2 linked regions of the Drosophila melanogaster genome follow. The protein of the gene in region 2 purifies or fractionates together with the protein of the main gene of each other region. This does not show direct contact. Each region holds a gene or a part of one and is shown on either strand. Other genes may lie near its edges. The genes, in order: GAPcenA and CG10494.

What was found.
Region 1: the proteins of CG10494 (region 2) and GAPcenA purify together in Drosophila melanogaster (affinity purification with mass spectrometry, with the first as the bait; one large-scale study listed by BioGRID). This does not show direct contact.

What each region holds. Positions count from the first base shown.
Region 1 is NT_037436.4:8,344,848-8,358,004, reverse strand, and holds GAPcenA (GTPase activating protein and centrosome-associated), read right to left. Parts: upstream 11,445-13,157; 5' UTR 10,836-11,444; coding exon 10,529-10,835; intron 10,465-10,528; exon of another isoform or gene 10,231-10,464; coding exon 9,952-10,230; intron 9,750-9,951; coding exon 9,566-9,749; intron 9,504-9,565; coding exon 9,316-9,503; intron 9,257-9,315; coding exon 8,160-9,256; intron 8,106-8,159; coding exon 7,917-8,105; intron 7,858-7,916; coding exon 7,138-7,857; intron 7,079-7,137; coding exon 6,626-7,078; coding exon of another isoform or gene 6,617-6,625; exon of another isoform or gene 6,281-6,616; intron 6,239-6,280; coding exon 6,071-6,238; 3' UTR 5,726-6,070; downstream 1-5,725. Other genes in the region: Idh (isocitrate dehydrogenase), read left to right, coding at 70-1,350; Culd (CUB and LDLa domain), read left to right, coding at 1,797-2,000, 2,063-2,393, 2,457-2,861, 3,395-3,763, 3,822-4,526, 4,593-5,476; CG7182 (uncharacterized protein), read left to right, coding at 11,936-13,157.
Region 2 is NT_033778.4:21,513,946-21,523,732, forward strand, and holds CG10494 (uncharacterized protein), read right to left. Parts: upstream 5,181-9,787; 5' UTR 5,061-5,180; coding exon 4,985-5,060; exon of another isoform or gene 4,981-4,984; intron 4,926-4,980; coding exon 4,512-4,925; intron 4,453-4,511; coding exon 4,036-4,452; intron 3,977-4,035; coding exon 3,312-3,976; 3' UTR 3,210-3,311; downstream 1-3,209. Other genes in the region: MESK2 (misexpression suppressor of KSR 2), read left to right, coding at 1,943-2,388; CG30288 (uncharacterized protein), read right to left, coding at 5,390-5,802, 5,870-6,036, 6,094-6,136, 6,199-6,424; CG30289 (uncharacterized protein), read right to left, coding at 6,666-7,174, 7,233-7,457, 7,672-7,888.

The sequences.
Region 1 (13,157 bases), on a different chromosome or scaffold from region 2:
AATACCGCAGCATTCAGACACAAATCCATTTTTCATGTAGCTAATAAGATTCCCATCCTGCCCTTCAAGCACTCAAGTGTGGTATGCTCTCCCGAACAGATGGCCCAGAAGATCAAAGCCGGTCCCGTTGTGGATGTCCTCGGTGACGAGATGACCCGCATCATTTGGGACTCCATTAAGAGCCAACTGATTCTGCCCTTCCTGGACATTGAGCTGCATACCTACGATCTTGGTATTGAGAACCGCGATAAAACCGAGGACCAGGTCACCATTGACTGTGCTGAGGCCATCAAGAAGTACAACGTGGGCATCAAGTGCGCCACAATCACTCCCGACGAGAAGCGCGTAGAGGAGTTCAACCTGAAGAAGATGTGGAAGTCGCCCAACGGTACCATCCGTAACATCTTGGGAGGAACCGTCTTCCGTGAGGCAATCATCTGCAAGAACGTGCCCCGTCTGGTGACTGGCTGGCAGAAGCCTATTGTGATCGGTCGCCATGCCCACGCCGATCAGTACAAGGCCGTCGACTACGTGGTTCCCGGACCCGGCAAGCTGACCCTCACCTGGAAGGGAACCGACGGTCAGGTGATCGATGAGGTCATTAATGACTTCAAGGGCCCCGGTATTGCCCTGGGAATGTTCAACACGGACGATTCCATTGTGGACTTTGCCCACGCCTCTTTCAAATATGCTCTGGACCGCAAGCTGCCGCTGTACATGAGCACCAAGAACACCATTCTGAAGAAGTACGATGGACGCTTCAAGGACATATTCGAGGACCTGTACAACAAGCAGTACAAGAAGGAGTACGAGGCGGCGGGCATCTGGTATGAACACCGTCTCATCGACGATATGGTTGCTTATGCCATGAAGTCGGAGGGTGGCTTCGTGTGGGCCTGCAAGAACTACGACGGTGATGTGCAGTCGGACTCCGTTGCCCAGGGCTACGGATCTCTGGGTCTGATGACCTCCGTGCTGCTATGCCCCGATGGCAAGACCGTGGAGGCTGAAGCCGCTCACGGAACGGTGACGCGTCACTTCCGCTTCTACCAGCAGGGCAAGGAGACCTCCACCAACCCCATTGCCTCGATATTCGCCTGGACCCGTGGCCTGCTGCATCGTGCCAAGCTGGACAACAATGAGCCACTGAAGCAGTTCGCCGACACCCTTGAGCAGGTGTGCATCGACACAATTGAGAGCGGCGCCATGACCAAGGATCTGGCCATCTGCATTAAAGGCAACATCAACGCCGTTACTCGCAGGGACTACCAGGAGACTTTTGAGTTCATTAACACGCTGGCCAAGAACCTGGAGGGTGCCCTGGCCAAGAATGCCGTTGCTGCCAAATGACTATCCGGCACTCAGTCCGAGCAGCAGGCCTCGCATCTCTAGAAAACTACTCAGCGATGCCTTGTCCTCGTCACCATATTCACAATATTTCCATTCGTTTTTGTAGATGTGCATGTCCTAGGCTAAAAATCCGTGTCCTCGATGCATGTTTCCCACTGTTTCATTGTCTCTGCGAGACGCAAAAAAAAACCCTGATTTCCCTTTAACGTCTAACGGAAAAGAAATTTCAAATAAATGTATTTTTATACCGGACTCGAGAGGTCTTTAACCCAGTCGAGGGTGGGCTCGTTACGAGGCCCGGTCCACTTGTGCGGCTTCTGATGGCTCTGGGTTTATTGGATTTGCCAGCGAAATGGCCACAGTTGTGTTCTAACACTTGGCGGCACCAGACCGAGACGGTTCAAGCGGAAGGGGCTCAGGATCCTGTTAGAAGGACGAAACTATCGATGCTAGCCGAAGCATTGGGCTATGGCTACCTGCTGGCCTACGTGATCTGCCTGCTCTGCTGGCCAGGAGAGGCGTATCCCGCCAGCAGTAGCTACCGGGATCTGGATATATGCAATCATTGGGACGGAAGACGTCACTTCCTGGAACTGGGAAGTCCAGCTGGAGAGGTGCACGCCAGGAATGTGACTACTACTGCCTATAGAGTAAGTGTATTTACAAGCTTCTCCAGACGGGATTTGGTCAGCAATTATGAACTTAAAAACAGAGCTCGCCGCTGGTTTTTAAGAACGATGCAGTGGCCGGGGATGTGTGGTACCAGTGCAGCCTGGAGCTGGTCACCTGTGCCGAGTGCGTCATCCGAGTGGCCTTCACCTATGCCAACTTCTCCAAAAGTTGCGGCAATACGGGTGGCAAGTCCAGCATGTGTCCCTGCGAGCATATCCAGTTCTCGGAGCCGCCCTATGATTCCACCATTTCCGGCCAAGAGTTCTGTGGAGATGGCAAGGTGTTTCGGAGCAAAACCAGGACACTGCAGTTGAAATTCTTCTACAGAGCCAGCAATGCGCACGTGTTCTCCCTTCAATACTTCTCGGAACGTAAGATTTAGAATCAGTTGGTAGGTTTTTAAGAATGCTCTATCCGGATTTCCCTCGGAATAGGCAACGTGCGGATAGTCAGTGGCTCCCCCAAGCAGTCTATTGTGGGCAATGGGAGTACAAAGTCCCAGCCACAAGTGATCTCCACGCCGTATTTCCCGATGGCATATCCACGCGACTATGGTATCGAACACATCCTCACCTGCGAGGCGGACAACTGCCAGGTGCGTTTGGATTTTACCGACTTCCAGCTGGGCCTCACCTCCACCCTAGAGATCTTCGACTCCAATGGCCAGATGCTGGACTCCTATACGGGTGAGCACTTCCGTCCGCCGATCACGGTGAGCAGCGGCAAGTCTCTGCTCCTGCAGTTTCGAGGAAATTCCGCCACCGGAGTGGGTTTTCGCGCGGAGGTTAGCTTCGTATCCTCCAAGCAGCTCAAGGACGAGCGACTGGTGCCCTACACAGGTAAGTGAATGGGTTGCAGTGCACTGAACAAAAACTAAGACTATCAAACAACTCAGATCTAAGGTTAAAACACAAATATTCCGCAGGATTAAAAAATTCGAGGTTTTTAAAAGTATAGAACATTATGCTTATCTTCATTTTAGAACTCGCAGATTGATTAACTTTTTAAATGGATTAGTATATCTTTTCTCTGTAGGAATAGGGACATTTTAATGATTTTCGGATTAGTCGAGCACTTGAAAGTCTGCAGGCAATTGTCATATTGATTTTGGCGAAGGTAGTGGGTGGGGTGGGCACTTGGCGAATATCAATGTCAATGCAAGGCGTTGAAGTGGAAACTGGGTGACTCTGGTTGGGTTCGGTTTGGTAAGACAATCGATTTCTTGGATCATTGCCCGTAGGGTGGTTGGCAAATACTTGTATATAATCCGGAATGGGGTTGGTTATGCACTATTGCGACAGGTTGGATCACAATGCATGATGCAAGAGCACATAAATAAATGCTTATGTACATATCTCTATTACACCTCTAGATTGCGGGGGAATGGTTACCGGACCTGGTGGCGCCATCACCATGATGAACATGATCGAAAATGCCACGGACGTGCGGCTGTTTGACTGCATCTGGATTATAAAGCCCGGCAACAACTACATGATGATGAAAACCCACATCTCGTTGAGAGTGGATGACTTCTACGGCATGGCCGCCAGATCTGAGCTCACAATACGGCAGGGCACCACCTCGGATGCCGTGGAGATCGAGAATGTGATGTGGCCGAACAATGGGCTGAGCAAGGAGAGTCATGTGGCGCCCATCCTCAATGGCTACTACATTCGACTGCGTGGGGTATTCGGGATGTCCTCCAAGCTGGCCATCGTCTACAGCGTGTTCAACTACTTGAGTGAGTTCGATTGGAAAATTTAAATTTAATGTTTAATTAACCAATTCGAATTGCTTAGATTGCTATATTGGCTCGGAGTTTCTGTGCGGGAACAATCACTGCATATCCATTCGCCTCCACTGCGATGGCTTCGACCATTGTGGGGATGGCAGCGATGAGCCGGATTCCTGCGAGGAGGACTGGGCACACCTGCATCACGATCGTCGCTGGTACTCTCACAAGCCCAACTATTATTTCCCCAAGATAGACCAGTATCCAGATCTTAAGACGGCCACGGGAATCTTTATCATCAGCACACTTGGCATATTTGGTGTGCTGTCCGGCTGGATGGTGATCCTGTACAGGATGGGGGTTAGAGCACGACACCAACGTGAGCTTCAAAGCCACCTGCAGACGATCAGTGAGCTGTTGGATCGCCAGGACGAGGATCGCACGCCCGATGAGCCACCCAGCTACGAGGCACCACCCGATTACGAGGAGGTCATCAAGGTAGGAATGCAACAGGAGCTACGGGAGCCACGTCGCCAGAGACGGGCCCGTCGAGCTCCGCCTAGAGATCGGAGCTGCAGTCGCGCCGCAAGCAATTGCACCGTGCAATCGGTACTCCCACTGCATCGCAGCTGCACCCTGGAAAGGGATCAAGAACAGCCCAGTACCTCGGCGGCGGCAATGACCCATGCGGTGGCTGCCACGGATACAACGGAGGATGCCGAACACGTCCAGACGATGGCCCAGCGAATGCTCCTCGCCACGGCTATTTGTGGTAGGTCGAGAGTTCCCCCAATCCCGCCCTGCAGTCGCTAACTTACCCACAGAGTCCCACTTGCAGGCACTGCAGGCACGTCTCTCCCGGCAGCAAAGGAGTCAGGGCAGCGGGTCCAATCCGTGGGGATTTCAACGAGCCCGTCATCGTTATCCGCTGGGGGTGAACTACCCACAGCAGGTGGGTCAGCCACAACGCCCGGCAGCACGGCAGATGAGTGCACCCAGGGAGGCGACTCACTTAGCATTTCACTCACTCTAGGCTTGCCCTCCACCACGGCAGAGAGTCCTGTGACAACCGACCAGAACCAATTGCAGAAACAAAGTCCGGAGCAGACAATCAGCAATTGCACGGAGCACACCTTCCTAAAGAGATCGTGGTTGGTGGTGCAACAGGTTCCACCTGGCAGGGGTTACCGTGTCCGGAGGCTGCGACATACCTTCTCCTCTCCTGAAGCATTCACTAGCGATGAGCTGCATCTGCCGTACCCGGATTTCCTGAGCTACGGCACTAATCTTCCACATGAACGGAGCAGTAGTAATTTCGGATCCGAGTTGTCGAGGGACCCATCGAGTTATAGTGTGGGCAAACGAGCTCGCTTGACGCCCGAGGACACAAGTGGATCGGAGACCATTACCCAGGAGATGGAGCAATCCAACCAGACACTCCAGTCCCATGTGATAGTGGAAAGTCACCCGAATCACAGCGAAAGTGAGAGCGAAGCGGAGCAGCAGGTGTCCTGCTTTGGAGCCGTAGCCCAGCGGCCCAAGAGGCGTCATCGGGGTCATGTGAGGAGCCGATCCTTTAGCAATGCCAGAGGTGGCAGTGCCGGAAGGAGGCGTCTCATGCAGCGCAGCTCGTCGGCCGATCTTTTGATGAACTACGCGACAATGGCGGTATCGACGCCACAAAAAACGAGCGAGGCAATGCAGCGATTGTTCTTCATCTGAGCGGGAGATTCAAAATGGAAGAGTGGACAAGTGGAACGATAGTATTAAAGCCTGGTGTGATTCTGGTCGGATTCTAGTCACATATAAATAAATAAGCCTGTTTCTTACTCGAATGTTATTAGCTTATTGAAATTCTTAATAAATAATTAACTTCAACTTCATCAAGACTTATCCAAAAGGTCGCAACGTTTGTATTCTTTATAATATGTACCATACCGCAAAAAGAAATGAATAATTACATTATGAATTAGCATTTTTTGTTAATTTATTTATTTATAGCCGTTATACGTGTAGCATTTGCCAGAGCAGATCAATATGTGCCCCAGATCAGATCACAAAAAACAACAACGAACATCCATCGCCCAAGATTCACTTCAACCCACTAATTGATCCGGGGCACATCCTGACCAGCACTGACTTTCGGGTGCCTCAAAGTGCAAAATAATAAAAATCTATTACTCGCGTATATATGGAAATCAAAATGCACGTTTTTATATGTATATATAGACGAATATGATAAATAATACCAGACGTAGTCAATGCCGTAGGTCTGCCTGCTATCCAGATCCTCCTACGTTGTAGCTGTATCGTTTCCTACTGCTGCAGCTGTTGCTTGAGATTCTCGGCTAGCGTTTTGCCAGTGTCCAGGGGCACTACTATATTGCGCAGACTATCGATGCTGTTGCGCAGCTTGGTGGCCTGGAATTTGCTGGGCAACTTCGGTGACCCTCCCACCGACGCAAATGCAAAGGTCTTGTACTCCTGGGCAGCCATTCGAGGGACCAAAAGATTCAAATTCAGTATGTTATATACACGGGGTTTTATTTGCAACGCAAAATATCAATAAAATCATAAGCAACCCGGGTTTTAGGGTACTAACAGAAACAGCAGAGGGGTTCAATGCCTGCATAGAGTCGACTAAATAAAGATTCTCAATGTGTGTCATGGTGTGAGGTTAAGCGCGTAATTAAATTAATCAATGATAAGTAATGGGTATTAATAAAGTATTTCGAAAACATTCCTGGAGCTCAGCTCGTGGGCTGATAACCCATATCTTAATCATAGAAATAATACATAAAAAACTTAAAAATAATAAACTGAAGATCTTTCAGTCATAACAGTTGGCCGGATCACTGGACTCTAGGTTACCTGATTGCCGCTGGGGGAGCTGGCCTCGCTTAGGGTAGTTGGCGCCTGGCCCATGTAGGATTGGAATGAGGGCATCGGTCCGCCACTACCATTATCCCGATGGCCGCCTCGCGTGGTTACCTTCTCCTGCAGCGAATTGAAGGTCTTCGATAGCCAGGGCTGCCAGCTGTTGCGGTTGGTTTGCAGCTCACTGAGCGTATTGCTGAGCTGATGGTTCAGGTCCTGGTTCTTGCACTCGGCTTCCACTTGAGCTAGCTTGGCCTGGGCCAGCTCCAGCTCTAGTTCGCGGATGCGTTGCGAGGCAGCGTTTAGCGGATCAAGTGGACCCAGTGGATGCTCATTGGCATTCCGCATGGCATCGGTTTGCCCCCTGTTCTTGCCGTCATCTGACTTAGCGTTGTCATTGCCGGCGTCGATCTGCTGCTGACAATCCTGGCAATTGGAAACCATGTGCTGAAAGAGAGTTGAAAAATGAATATCCCGTCAAATTCATATTACAATACAATACTCACCATCACTTTTCCTAGAGTCTCGCTTAGTGTGTTCATGTCCTGCTCTTGGCGCTGGATGATCTGCTTGTATTCCTGTATAATGCCTGTGTGCTTCTTCTCCTTCTCAACAGCTCGCTCCTTGGCGGAAGTCAGTTGTTTGTTCAATGCGTCGATTTCCGCCTGCATTTTGCGCCTCTCCTCGCCGAAACGATTCTCGTAAATCTGTGCCTCCTTCTCCAGGCGCTCCTTGTGCTGCTTCTTCAGCAGGAACTCCTCCTCGTACTGCTTCAGTTTTTTTATCTTACGTTCGCAGGCTTGCTTCATCACCTTGCGTGCCTGACTGGAGCTGCGGCACTTTTTCGGCAACGTTACCCGGAAATACTTTAGAATGCCCTCAAAATCGAGTTGCCGCAAGTCGGATTCACAGATTGATAAGAGAGTAACGGCCACCTGGAAGAGCACAGGTAGTCCGTCCAGTAGAAACACATCCAGCACGTGGAACACAAAACACAATGGGAATCGCGCTGTATATAAGGTTAGGAACCATTGGGAGGCGTACATGTGCGTCTCAATGCCGCAGGCCGTGAAGTGTTCGTGCAGCTTGGGCAGCTGATCCTTGATCAGTCGCTCCAGTTGGTAGAGACGAAGGTAAAGGACCTCGAATCCGGCTTTGTAGAGATCACGGAGCCCATAGTCGTACATAAGCGCTACCAGAACACAGAACGCATCCTCCTCAGGCATCTGAAAATGTGTGTGTAAGCAATCATTCTTAGATGTAGATTGTCATCATCATTACTTACATGAAGGAGCAGACTAGCTGCTATGAAACTTAGACCCTGACAATATCCAACCTCGCTGTCATGAACGGCATACGCTTTGGACACCTTAAAAAGTGCATCTTGGCCAGAACCGCCAATTTCTTTGAAGCATTTGTGCGCCGGGAAAGTGCGATGGATGTCCCGCTGGATAACGGTCTCACATTTGGTTTCCTACAAGTAAATTTCCAATTAATTTCTTTTCACATGGATAGCGTCTATACTCACTTTGGTGATTAAGATCTTGTACTTGTCGTTCATTTCCATTCTGCCCTCGACGTTGGCTAGCTTCTGCCAGATCTTTTCACGCAGTGCTTCTGGAACGCCGAGGCGTACTAAAGGTGCCAGATTTTTCGGTCTCTTCTCGGAATCCCACTCACGCAGAATGGGATCCCATTCGTCGAGCGTGTCCTGCGAGCAATCCTTAGATACCTCACCAGTGCCACTCAGCAGCGGCTCATCCCCATCGCTGCTGTAGTCCGAGGGACAATCATCCTCAATCGAGGCAATGGACGAACTGCGCACAATGCGCGATAGATTATTCATACCCATCTTGAGCAGGGAAGAGCTTTGCTGGTGGCCCGGCTGCTCCGTTATTTCCTCAGAGGGATCAATGCTATTCACTTTCCAGTTGGACTCTTCGGTCCGCTTTAGATGCAAATAGAATCGTAACGTCATGGGTCGCTTTGACATAAAATGGTCCATAATACGCATTTCGCTGGCCGACTGAATGGTCACTGGGGTCTCAATGACGAACCTAACCGGTTCCTGTATACGTCGCATCACAATGTCTACGGCCACAGTGAGATTGGTCTTTGACGACTCAAGATTTAACTGCTCAAAGGCCTTTTCCTGGGCTTTCCACTCAGCTCGAATTGTATAGGGCCAGGAGGAGCTCTGCTGGGCATTGCTGTCCGATTCGGTTGCTACTCCTGTTCCGCCGGGCTGAATGTAACCCATGCTGTGCATGTCGATCAAATGCATATCCTTTTGGACTACTAGTTTTCCGGGTGCCACTAGAACACCGAAACATCGTTCGATATGCAATGGTTGAAGAACATTTGACGGAGTCTGTTTGACTGTGATGCACACTTCCTTATCTGTGTTCGCCCTTAGCTTAAAGCATCCCCTATCGCGAGGCACTGCGGCATAGGAGTTCTTTGCCACTCGCTCACGGATCTCTAAGGAGACTATGAACTCATACCCAGCCGTGTTTAAAGGATTTCCGCTTACATCGGAGGTTACCGAGTTGGCCATGTCAACGGCCGAATTAAGGCTGCAACTCATGCTGGGCGGATAAGTCTGGAATGCCTTCTGGAAGCAGGCTGCGGGCGAAGATTTTGAATAAATCGGTGGGATGAAATCACTGTATGATCTGACTCACCGCTGACTTGATTAACCGCTTCGGGAATATGGCACCGAAACACATGGCACTGAAACAATGCATCGCCGTGAAGCCAAGTGAATGCAAAGCATCCGTTTTCCACCGTATCCACTGGTCCTCGATAGTACAAGATAATGCTGGATATCTCATAGGTGGCAATAATAGTATTGCTCTCGGCATCGTGGAGGCTGTAATAGCAGCATGATGACGCTCAGTGAGTAATTCAAGGGGCAGTAAAAACTTTACTCACACAACCAGGCCTTCTGAGCAATTGGGTATGCTCACAGTGATCTTCAGGCCCACCGACTTTGAGCCACTATTTAGCTCGCCCATGATGCGATAAACCTCCGTCTCGGATTTTGGGGCATTAATGTTGGCTGCGCCCAGGTAGGTGACTCCGGAAAATATGGTGCAGCCCTGATCGATTTCAGAAACTGAAAGTGAAAAACACATGGTCAATTAAATTTCAATAATTACACTAAACATAGATTTCAGCTTTAGGAGCCTAGGAACACAATATAGAACAAATAATAAAGAACTCTGTGAGTATATAGGCTTTCGTAAAATGAACAGAATTTATAGGCAAATGTACCCCTTAATTTTTGGGATTTTAACTAACTTAAGAGATCTACTCACCCTCCTCGTCGGTGGTGTCGCCCTTCTCCGGCTTCATGGCATCCTGTTTTTCCTCCACGCAGGCGGGGCTAGCGTCTATGCAGTCATAGAACACTGAATGACCCACTCTGTTTGAGCTGGATGCATCGTCGAGGGTCTCCTCGCTTTTGGGCGTGAACAAGGTGCAGGGGAAACGCATCTCGGGATCGACAGATCCCCCGCCGGAGCCCGTGAGCGGTAGGGTCAGGGACTTTTGCTGATGACTCGGGAGACGTTGCGCTGACTTCTCCCCACTGGCAGCTGCAAATATGTTAATTGTCAATTACGCGACGAGCAATAACAAATGCCGAATTATGCGGAATTTTGTTTAAGGAAAGTATTATTATTCGGTTTGTTTGTCGTTGTTTCCATGACAGCGTAGCACTACGGCTCTGCGCCGATAAGATTGCAGCTGGTTAGGCTTAGCAATCGTTTGATGTTTCCAATAGTGGAGCGACCGCGACGTTGTGTGCACAGCTGGCGTTGGGCAACGACTGAGTTTACTTTAGGCTACCCAGGGCAACCCAATTCACCCTCTCAGTTGTGTTTCTTTACTCACCTACGCCGCGTTCCAACTCCAGATCTTTGAGGGCGTCCGTCATCTCGTGCTGCATGTCGCTTAGGTTGCGATTGTGGGCCATGTCCAGAGTGGGCGAGCGATCTCCCCCAGCCTCGGGGGAGGACAGAGCCAGAGCACTCAGCGAAGTGGGCGGTTTGCCACCCACTTCAGGCTGAGTTCCCTCCTGGTTGACAACCTGCTTCACCTGCTCCATGGGACTGGCCACATTGCTGTCGGTAACTATTTCGTACTCCCCGCTGGTTGTTATCGAGGATTCCGAGGACTTGGTGCTCAGATTATCATCCATTCCGAACACTCAAGGTTGCCTCAGTTCCAGGCACTCCCAAATGGGTTACTCTTTGTTGTGTGTGTGATATATTCGGACTTTCTTTATTCTTAAGCCCTACGAATTGCGCATTTTCAGGGCAGGTAAACAAATCAATTTCTGTTCCAAGGCCACGCACTCGTACTCGCACTCGCTTTTAATAGATTTCGTTTTCAATTTGTCCAATTTTCAGCGGAGTCGCATTGTTTGGCTTGGTTCCGCCGTAAATCGATGACGAATCGGTACGGTTTGCTTGGCGTTTTGGGGGCGTACACACACGCGCATGTATGTCACACAGTGCCCAATTCGCGTGGGAACTGGAGGGGTTGGGCCTTCAAGGGGGTGGTGGACGGTGGGGTCGGCGGGGTCAACAGTTTGTCTCTGTAGCCTCTGCGCTTGGATTCCTATGGATTTTTTTGTTATTTTAGTGCGTGCAGCTGCTTTGAGCTTACACTTTGGTTTTTATATTATAGCCTACACTCCGCAGAACTGTAGTACATTGTTTTGACCCTTTATTGTTGTGTTTTTATCGGGTTTTTAGCAATTTTCTTGCAATTTTCCGTCTGTTTTGTTTACATATTTTTTTGCTAGTGATGACCTGCAGTAGGTCGATTCCTATCGAAAGGAAACAGCTGCTTTAACGTTATTCAATACTTCTTTTGAAAGTGTTAATAAGTGTACCTATCGACTTAATCGACTAGTTATTTTCTTTTCTATGCATATTGCCATATGCTTATATGGCAATCTAAATAATCCAATAGCATTACAAAGTTGTCTTTGACTGAAATGACTTGTCTTGAATAAATTTAAATAAATATAAATAAATTTTTAAATTGTAATTCAAAGAACCAAATCTATAAAGGTATGTGATGTATGGAAAATATTGAGAACATATTAAACATATAGTACATATCGAAAAAGTGTCATCGCCGTGACATAATACCCCGCCAGTGTTGCCAAATACTCTGCTACACAACACTACCGCGCGTGCTGGAAAAAAACGTGCGCGTTTATTCGTTGCATTTTGTTAAGATAATTCCTTAAGTCCGGGTACTTCTGACTCCGATTCCGACTCCCAAAAGATGTGGCCGCGATTTGGCATTAAGATTGGCAACAGCACGCTTTGCATCGCCCATGTGCGCGCGGATGGCAAGGCGGAGGTGATCGCCAACAAACAGGGCGACCGAGTGTCCCAAGCGTGCCTTCTCTGGGACGGAGCCTCGGAGATCGAATGTGGCCTCACGGCCAAGCAGAAGATGGCCAACCGTCCGCGCCAGGCGGTGGCGCACAGCTTTCAGTTGCTTCAGCCCAAGGAAGAGCTCACGGAGGAGAAACTGTCCAGTGCGCTGCGTGAAATACCCTGCGACTTTGACAAGGAGGAGCTGGTGTTCCGGATGGAGCACACTGTACCCTCCGACAGGGAGGACCAAGACGATAGAGTTGTGACCAAGGACCTCAGCGCCTATCAGGTGACGGTGGAGCTGCTGCGCGCTGAGCTGGAGCTGGCCCATCAATATCACACGGACGGGGAGCAGGCGCCCATTGCCGTGCTATCCATACCCAGCTACTATCCCGCCTCGGCCTACAAACTGCTAGCAGATGCCGCTCAAACCGCTGGCTTCCATGTGGCCCAGATTATAACCGAACCCACGGCCGCCGTTCTAGGCTATAGCATCGGCGAGGAGCAGACGGAACAGCGCCGCCATGTGCTGACAATCAAATGCGGTGGCTTATATAGCGACATCGCATTCTACTCCGTCCAAAATGGCCTGTTCGTTCAGCTGGCCACTTTCGGACCCTTCCCCATCGGTGGCCGGCAATTCACCGAGGCCTTGGTGCAGTTTATTTGCGAGGAGTTCCGTCGCAAGTACAAGCTAGATCCGCATGAGTCTCGCCGCTCAGTGGCCAAAATACGCACTGCCGCCGCCAATTGCAAACACATCCTGACCACGATGCCTTCCACGCAACTTTATATCGACTCCCTGATGGACGGCGTTGATTACAATGCCCAGATGTCGCGTGCTCGCTTCGAGAGCCTCATACAGCCAGTGATCAATAACCTCATCCAGCAGCTAGGCGAGTGTGTGGAGCAGGCGCAAAAGGAGCATCCCGGGTTGAGTAAAATAGATGACATCGTTCTACTAGGCGCCACAATGCAAATCCCCAAGCTTCAGGCGGCAGTGGGAGCCCGCTTCCCGGATGCCAAGCTCCACAACAGCCATTCGGCGGACGAGGTTGTGGCCATCGGCTGCGCGCGCCAAGCTGTGTGCCTGATTGACCCCCTCGAACAGCAGCTTCACAAGG
Region 2 (9,787 bases):
AGATTTGCTTCTGAGTACAGTGCAACCTCGTTAGCTGGGCCATTGATGCGCTTTCGCTTTTCCAACGCTCTCTTTAATTTTCTCCTCCACAAAAACACACACTCTCGCACACGCCTTTTGTTTCGAATAACTCTTTCATTTATTTGACCTATCATTTTGTTTTGTTTATTTACACGCAAATTGAAAACAAATTATACAACAACGAAAACAATTACCACAACAACCACAAACAACTGAACATTGAATTTCGAAAACCCCAAAAGCTGTTGGCACACTGCAAAAGTTGGCGCGCAAAATCTCATCGGTCAGCCGGAGCAGTTCCACGCAAATTGAGCTCACTGTACAGTGAACGACGGCGGCAGAGCAGAACTATGTGAGCGAATGGAGAGAGCAACAGCAGTGGCAGCGGCATCGGCAGAAGCGGCAGCATCGGCCCCAATTCGGTGGGGCAGAGTGAGTGAGAGAGAGAGAGAGAGCAATTGGATAATCACCCGACGCCGATACACCCAAAACAAAAAATTAGAACAATAACCACACTGAGAAAAATGGTTTACAGCTTTGCTTTTAAGGGCAAAATAATCTTGCTTCGGTTTCTCCACTTCTGTGATTTGCGTTGAAATTTATCGTTGCTCTTTTGTTTTATGTTAAATACTTTTTTTGTAATTAATGCGATTTTTAGTTGGTAAGCTATTAAGTGGAAAGCGGCAAGTGATTAGTTTCCATTTCGTTTGTTGTCTACATAAATAAATGCATTGCATATATGTACTTTACATATTGCCTTTCGTTGTGTCACCCCTTTTCTCCCACATGCCTTAAAAGTCGGGCTGCTTTCACCATCCACAACACAGCTTAAATGTACGAGAGCAATAAGTTTAAACACACTATACAAATATACATACATGACAACGCTATTATATACAAATTACATTACACTAACCATACTCAAGTCGAGAAAAACGATAAACGAAACGAAAATTGAAAAGTGTAAGCTTTTGTTGTATATTTGAGAATTCTAAATAAACGAACGAACAACGTGAATTTCGAACTGTAACGGTGCGGCCAGAGTGATATACTCCTCCGAGATATGAATATATCTGGTGTTGATGGTCCTCTGGCCACTGGGAGTCGCGTCTCTTTCCCACAGCAGCAGCATCGTCGTCACAGCAGCCACATCCAATTCAATCCCAGCAAAGGGAGCTCATCGCATCGCATCGCATCGCATCGATCCGCTCATCGACCATCGCGAAATCTCAGCCCAGCTTCCTTCCCTTCCCCTCCATCTCGTCCATCAACTAGAACAACAACAACAACAAACAACAATAATAATAAAATTTATTAATTATAACGATAATAGAACAACAGCAGCAGCAGATTGTCGCCGCTTTCATCTCGAATCATGCAAAATGCACACCATACACATTACATTCAGATACAGATACAGATACACTTGCAGCTGCGATTAAAATAAGGATAGAGGTAAATTATTTAGATTCATGTGTTGTAAGCTGTTTTTATAGCTTCAGCTAACTAAAGATAGTTTCAAGTGAACTTAGCCTTATTAAACAATATAAAGACTGAATTAAACGATGTAAATTGTAACCATAATCAATGATGAGATTATTGAATACTACATAGTTATCTTTACAATGGACATAAAGCCTTAACTTCCATTCGAATTTTAAGAGTTAAGAGAGTCAAGCAAATCTAAGAATTTTATTTATTTTAATCGCAGCCTTTTGCAAACGTACAGACATCACCACACGTACATACATTTCAAAAACAGCAGGCAAGCCTTTTAGAAAGTGTATAAAGAAAAACACCCATCAAGAACAAGAACCAACAACTTACATGTTATCAAGTGACATAACGTAAATAACAAAAGCCAAACTACTACTACCTTCCCCCCAAAACAACAACAACTCCACTTATAAAACTGCAACAGCAACGCCGCTGTCCACGCCAGCGAGTTCGCCCTGTGGAACTAAATACCACACCTACTCCTCCATCTTCTTTGCCAACTTCCGGGAGCAGCAGCAGCAGGCGATGGAGGAGCGCGATCGTGAGCGGGAAAGGGAGCGGGATCGCCAGCGGCAGCTGAGCCTTCGCGTTGGCAATCGCCTTCGGGAGACGGCCATCAATTGCACCAGCAGCAACTCCAACACCACCGCCGGCCAGGGGGACAATAATAATGCGGATGGTCGCAGCGTCGACGGGGACGACCAGGATCTGGAGAACGGAAACGGATGTGCCGGCGGCAACGGAACAGGAACCGGTAATGGCAACCGAGCCTACGTGACCACGGACACATCGGGCACGCTTTACTACGGCACCCAGAGCAACAAGATACGCATCACAGAGAACCCACTGCCCGAGCCGGTCAGCTCTTAGATTGTTACTGCAGAGTCCACATAATCTCCAAAAGACACCTTGTTATTGTTGTTACCACACACTGAGAAAAAATAATGCAGCAGCAGCAGCCAAGTCAAGCCAAGCTTTCAGCCGTGCTCCAAGAGACACAAAGCCACAGAAACTCAAAGAATAAAAAATATTATGAAATACAAGCAACTCACACACCGCTAGGAAATGAATGCGAATGCAATAATTAACCACCAAATGAGAACCCATTGATTGATTGATTGATTGATTGGTTGATTGATTGATTGTGTTTCCCTATGGTTTTCGAGATGCGGAGAGATATTTGTAATTTACACTTTGTGCCTGAGCGTAACGTAACGAACATACACGTATATATATCAAGCCAGATCGGTTCAGATCAGCAACAGCAGTTTAGTTTTCTATGCCCAATTGATTACATTGTTTTTTTTTTTGGAGTGCAACACATATTTTATGACGAGCTTGCTTAGTTGTTGTAAACCGAACAATATACAAAATATATACATATGTGTATACAGATGACACAAGCAGAACAAAAACTAAAAACTAACGAGCATTTTCGCTTAATGTTAAAACCTAAAACGAATCCAACTGTTAACTTAATCCCAAAAAATAACAATGTAGCATATCAAATAAAAAACGAAAAATCTCTCAAAATTACGTATATACTTATACAAAACCCTAGATAAATCGTAGACAATTGCGAATTGCGAGTAACTTCAAACCAACATTCTGTTCACAATGAATGAGGAATAAATTCTAGACACAGGACACTGTCACAAAAACAGGATACACACACACACACGATATTGAATATAGAATACATACATATAATATATATAAATAATGACAACTTTTTGCAATAACTTCGAATTCAATTCAATAAAAGTTTTAGAAGCTTGAGTTCTATGTTTCCATTACTTCGGTTGCAGCATTTCGCTGATCCTGCGCAGGGTCTCCTCTCGATCTCGATGCATCAGTTCCGATACTTGTTCCAAAAATTGATGCTGCTGCTCGCGTTGCTGCCGCAAGAAGCTTTCGTTGGTAGTTTTGATCTGCGCAAGCAGCTGCTTTTGACCTTCTATGATTGCAGTGAGTGCTTCAATCGGCGTTGGTTCAGCCTCCATCTCGATGGCGTCCACGTAGTCCTCGCTATCGGCTGCCGCTCTTAGGAGATCGCAGGTGGAGCTGGAGTTGTCGCTGTCACTTTCCAGCGGAACGCTTGGTTTGCCTGGCGGCTTGAGAAAGGAAGGCTTGCTGATGCGAATGAGCCTGCTGATGGCACTTTCTCTGTTCTCCCGCGGCGCCTGAATCAGTTCATCGAAAAGCTCAAAGTGGCGAGGCAGAATGCGTACATTATCTAGCCCGTGCTCCTTGGCCTCTCGATGACGCTTGCAGAGCAGCCTTAGTTTATTGCGCAGCTGGTGTGGCGTGCGTTTGATGTCCTGCTTAGCCAGGATGTTGGAAATGTGCACCAGGGTCTGGAAGTTGCGCTTCCTTGAGCCATCCAAGGCGCGAAAGAAACCATTGTCCCGAATGATGAGTAGAAACGAATCAACCTCTTCGTCTGTCCAAAAGTGCGCTAAGGAACATAGGAATTTAATTAAATATGGAATAGGAACTAGCTATTATAATATCTACCTCCGCTTCTCTGTGATGCATCACCCTCTTCCTCGTCACTGTCATTGAAATCACTATCGCTTGCGCTGCTCAGATGGGCTTCCGCTTCAGCATCTGCGGCCGCCTCCTCTTCGGTGGGATCCAGGACCAGTCGCATCGCCTCAAAATGCTCGAACGTTTTCCCCGTGCCGTTCTTGACCTTGTTGTACAATCGCCGCAGCTGCTGGAACTTGATGCGCAGCTTCTCAGCACCCTTGTGGCAGTTGCGTTTTGCCATCTCCTTGGACAGCAGCTTGAAGACCTTGGCATTGCGCTTTTGCAGCAAAGCTGCTCGCAGTCCAAGTGTGTGGATCAGGTCTAGGAGGAGGTCCACTTCGCCCTCTGCCCACTTGCAGCGGGCGACGATGTTAACTGAAGATCCTGAGGCATCCAAAGCATCTGCGAAGGAAAGTCGCCTAAGTTCGTATTCCAATACATTCCTGCCCGGTGGCACCTACCGTCCCCTTCGGTTTCTGAGATCATGCCGGACTGGTCCTCGTCGGCCTCCATATCGCTGTCACTCTCTAGCGCCTCTTCATCCAGATCAGATACATCTTCTCCCTGCATCAACTCGTGCACCGCCTCAAAGTGCTCGAATGGTTCGCCGCCATTCCGAGCTCTCGCATACTGACGCCGCATCTGATGGAACTTGACTCTCAGATGCTTTGGACTCTTGGGGCAGTTCCGCCGGGCCATTTCTCTGGACACCATACGAAACACCTTTGCATTGCTTCGCGGCCTTCGAAGAGCAGCTTGCAGTTTAAGTTGGTGAATGATTTCCAGAAAGGTCTCCACCTTTGCGCTGGTCCACTTGCAGCGACTCGCTTTCCCAGAACTATTTTCCGACACCGAGTGACTCGCATTTCCCAGATCTGTTACGAAAAGTAAGGATTTGGTAACATCGAACCGGCTGAGGACGCTGCTTACCCACTCATAAGGTGTGCGTATTTCTGCTCCGTTTCGTGCTCGTCCTCATCGTTGCCATTGAAGAGCGAGAACTTGCTCATTTTCAAATGGTTATGCTTAAATCGCGCAATGAAATCAATAAATATATATTTATATTTGATCGGTTTTTTTTTAGCTTGATCAAATCATAACAATAACAAAACTGTCATCGATAGTAGGACGCGTTAAGCTACCTATCGTTATCGGCATCGATGCGGCCGTACCATACATTCTGCTCGAATGTATGTTTCATGTAAGGAATATGTATGTTAAATGTAGAAATAGCCTACAATCTGAAAAAAAAAACCAAAACCAACAAGAAACTATGATATTGATAGCCAAAATATATACGCTAAAACATTATATTGTTATTAAGCAACATATTTTGATCTCATTCAAAGTCGTCTGAATGGTTTTGAATAACATCCAATATCCAGTCCGTAAAGTGTGTGACATTGGTGTAAATTCCCAAGCCACTGCACAACCGAAGTCCTTGGCTAGCGACACCGAACTGGAAGACCCTTCCCTGCCCCTCAAATGTACGAATTGCGCTCAAAGGACCTCCCGAATCGCCTTTGCACGAATCACTGATATAACTGCCGGCACATATATAGGATATATCGAGAGGTCTTCCAGGTCTTTCACAACTCCATTGAGGTAATTGTTGCAGGGTGGCAGTCTGTAGCCTATCTTGCTCTTCTCCATCACTATTTGTACCCCATCCGGTGAAATTGAAGCGTAATATTGAGAGTGGGTTCCCACCCAACGTTTTGCCCAGAATCAAGCAGATTGGTCTGACATAGTCTATGGCGAACTTTAGTTAGTTACATATTTAGTTCCCAAGAAACTTTTGATAGCGAAATGCACTTACTTGAGAATATCACACTCCTTTGCATTCGCAACAGACCAATATCATATCCTGGATTACTATGAACAATTTTCCTATCCACGTCCACATTGTAGGCCCTTGGTGTGCAGACAAAATCATCGCAGTCGAATATGGGATGTCGGGTATCGTATTCGCCCAGGCGCACATTCCTTAAAAAAGGTCATTTTGAGGATCAAATGTGTAGTAATAGTATGGTATGCACTCACATATACATTGGGGAAATGCAATGCTCGGCGGTCAAAACAAATCCTAAATGAACATACAATGATAATTTGAGTATATATTTCTTATTATCAATTCCAAATACTTACGAGCAGTTATAAGTGAACCGCCACACACTGCTTTTCCCGAAATCATTACTCTGACCATCCAGGGATTCGATTCCATGCCAGCATCTCTACCTCCATCGATTCGCGCTCTATAACCATTACTGCTCGTGGTTCCACAGTCGTTTTCCAGTAAGCGTCCGGATTCCGTCCGGATAATCCCAATAAAAAGACAGGCTACTATCACAAGCTGCCGTATAGGTAGACGCATCTTGTTCAGAGACTAAATTCGAATGGCATCGGTTTCTATTTTTATGCTTGTTCTTCGGCAAACGGCAGAGATAAGAAGTGATTTATTCAGAAAAAATACTAATACAATTTTTACAATCGATTTGAATGTGACATCGTTTATTTTCAATTAATGACAAGATTTTTTTTTTTTAATTAAATCTCTTGAACTTTAATATATTTCGAACTTCGATGCGTTGCCCTGCCATTTTGTCGAATATTAATTAATTTTCATATACAATTCTGTTATACATTAGTTCTATATTCCTTATTATGTCTGTTATGTTACAAGTTTGGCCTACGAGCTTGGATAACCAAAAGGTAGTATGACCTGTAGGTTTGAATTGAACCATTTTATTAAATATCCATTCCCTGTGGTACGATACATTGGTGTAAACACCTGCCACATTAGCCGCGCACCTTTCGGATCCGTAGCTGACCAAGCCGTACTGGAAACTCAGAAGCCTGTTGCCATAATGAAATTTCGAGCTCAATGGGCCTCCAGAATCGCCCTTACAGGTGTTACTGGTATGACTGCCAGCACATATCTGCGATCGATCAGCCTGTTTGTTGAACTTAATGTTACAGTATGATATATCCATGTTATATAGAGTGGCATTCAGTAGGATCCGACTGAATTGACCATATTCTGTTTCACCCCAGCCGGTAACCGTAAACATTGGAATGCTTTGCATTTGCTCGCCGACAAGAAGGCAAATTGGCCTAACATAATCTATAACGAAAAACATAAAGCTTTAGTCATCCACGTGAGATAAAACCCCTCTATTTACCTGAGTACTCCACAGCTTCGGACATACGAAGCAATGCTATATCATTCTGGAGAGTGATGCCATTATAATTTTCGTGAACAATTTTCATATCCACACTAATGTTGTAGAACTTTGGTATACAGTGATTGTTAAGGCAGTATGGCATGGGATCTAGTGTTTCGTAATCACCCAAGCGCACATACAGATCTTCAAAGGATACGCAGTGCGCTGCTGTCAGGACGAATTCTTAAAAGAAAAATAAATAAATAATAAAAAAATAATAAAATAGTCGACTATCTCGATTATTTATTCATATGCTTTTCAGTTTTTGGGTACATGTAAGTTAAGATATATATATCGTGGACTATGAACTATATTATAAATCTAAATAAATATAAATATATTAATATATTAGTATAGAGTAAATAAAGAATAACCAATGTTTTAGTCAAATACATACGCCGTGCAATAAGAGAGCCGCCGCAGGGCTTACTCGACCAAACCAACACCATCCAAGGATTTTCTTGAATATTTGTTTTGGCTCCTCCAAAAATGTTCGGAACGTATGGATCGTCCTTTGATATTCCACAATTCTCAACCAGCAGGCGCGACATTACGTTATTGTTGGCAATAAATAGGCATACGAGTGCCGCGATTACCGCATTGATCACTTCCATGGTTGCGCGAAGACTGATCGGTGATAGCATATCAACTATTTTCCGTTTGGTGCTAAAAAGTTTAAGCTGTTCGCTTTTTAACAAAAAATTAAATTAACATAATAGAATATATTAATAATATATATATATTTAACAAAACTCTGGCCGGAAGGGCAATTAGCTTTTGAGTTAGGTTAAAAACTAAAATATGTTCATACAATAAATACTAAGTTTGACTTTTTATGATATCGTTAAAAATTATCGGCAATATCGATAGAGTGTTAATTCGTTCCGCAACAAATGGTGTACCAAGTGGGTAAGTGTCATTTTTACCAACGTCAAAAATTGCAATAAGATTTGTAGTTTTTCTGAAATGTCAAAAATGTTAAAGGAGAAAAAATGGTAGTTTCTGGGGCATGCCAACTCGGGCTTTAGCTGCAAAGTAATTGGCAACTTGATTTCCATCGGTGACTGCAACCACAGCATACTGCAACTTGTTGCGAGCGAGAGAGAGAGAGCGAAGTTCGATTCGAACATCGAGCGAAACGGGCAAATCGGTTAAACGGTTCGGCCGAAGCTATATAAGCAACCCGCAATAGCCACTCTGTAAATTTGAAGATAAATTTCAAGCCGGGCTGCCCGTGTTTCAGTTTCCCAACGAAAACATCAACAAATAACATCATAGAAAACTGCGCTTGCGTATTCGGTAAATCGCCGGGCAAATTAACATCGGGTATATTACGAAAAAATATAAATATTATGATATTTTCATATCATTATCAAGTGCAATTGTAATCGTAATCGTAATTGTTTATATTGTACACAATAATACAACAGGCGGAGCTTGTAGGCCAACAACAGAGTGTGTGTGTGTGTGTTATTGTGCGTGCGTGTGTGTGTTCGCCAAGTTGGTTTCGCATTGGCTTCAGCTTTTTTTTTGTAATCACCCCCGCGCGATCGTTTGCGTTATCTGTGCGCTTTTACGATTTGCACGCTAATTTCGCGAATATACATACGTATATATTGTAGAAGTGAAGTCAAAACAGAGATCGGGTCAAAAGTTGTAGTGGAAAGCTCGTTGCTAATCGCCGGTCAAAGTCTGGCTTTTTGAGATGGGGCAAGGAGGAGCGTCGGCCACGCTTGACTAGGCACCACAACGCCACCCCCCCCCCCCCTCAACTCAGGCAAAGCATCTCGAAGTAAACAAACAATTCTGCCGAGATTCGCGTGTTTGTACAGTTGGTGAATATAAGCAAATCGACCGCGCATCGATATCATGATGATTATCAGCATGTGGATGAGCATATCGCGAGGATTGTGGGACAGCAGCTCCATCTGGTCGGTGCTGCTGATCCTCGCCTGCATGGCATCCATCACCACAAGCTCATCGGTCAGCAATGCCGGCTATGTGGATAATGGCAATATGAAAGGTAAGCTCTTTTCCAACACACAGTCGAGCTTCTGTAACTCGATATATAGTAGTATATGGTTAAGCATTTTAATGGAACTGAAATGTGGCACATAAATATTGTCATTTCATTGTTAACTCAAGTTACAGAAAAACAATTGCAATGCAAGATAAAAGTATTTCTGCAATGCAAATCAAATAAAATGGAGGGCACAAAGTGATATTGCCGAAATTCCATGTAGGCCAGATGCACTGTATTTTTTTTAGCCAAACCAAAAACTGTGCCGAGTTCTACGTATCAGCATGAGACACACTCGTATTTGTTTCTGTCTGATAGCAATCCGACAGATACCGATGGAAAATAGCAAGGTGCTGTCTGCCCTTCTGAGATCATTTTCATGGGTGCGGAACAAAGGGGGCTGCTGTGGACAAAGATTGATAAAAGGGATTCGATTCATTCATTCAACAGGGGCAGCACGAAAAGGAAGTGAGTGGCTATCTGTATCTCTCGA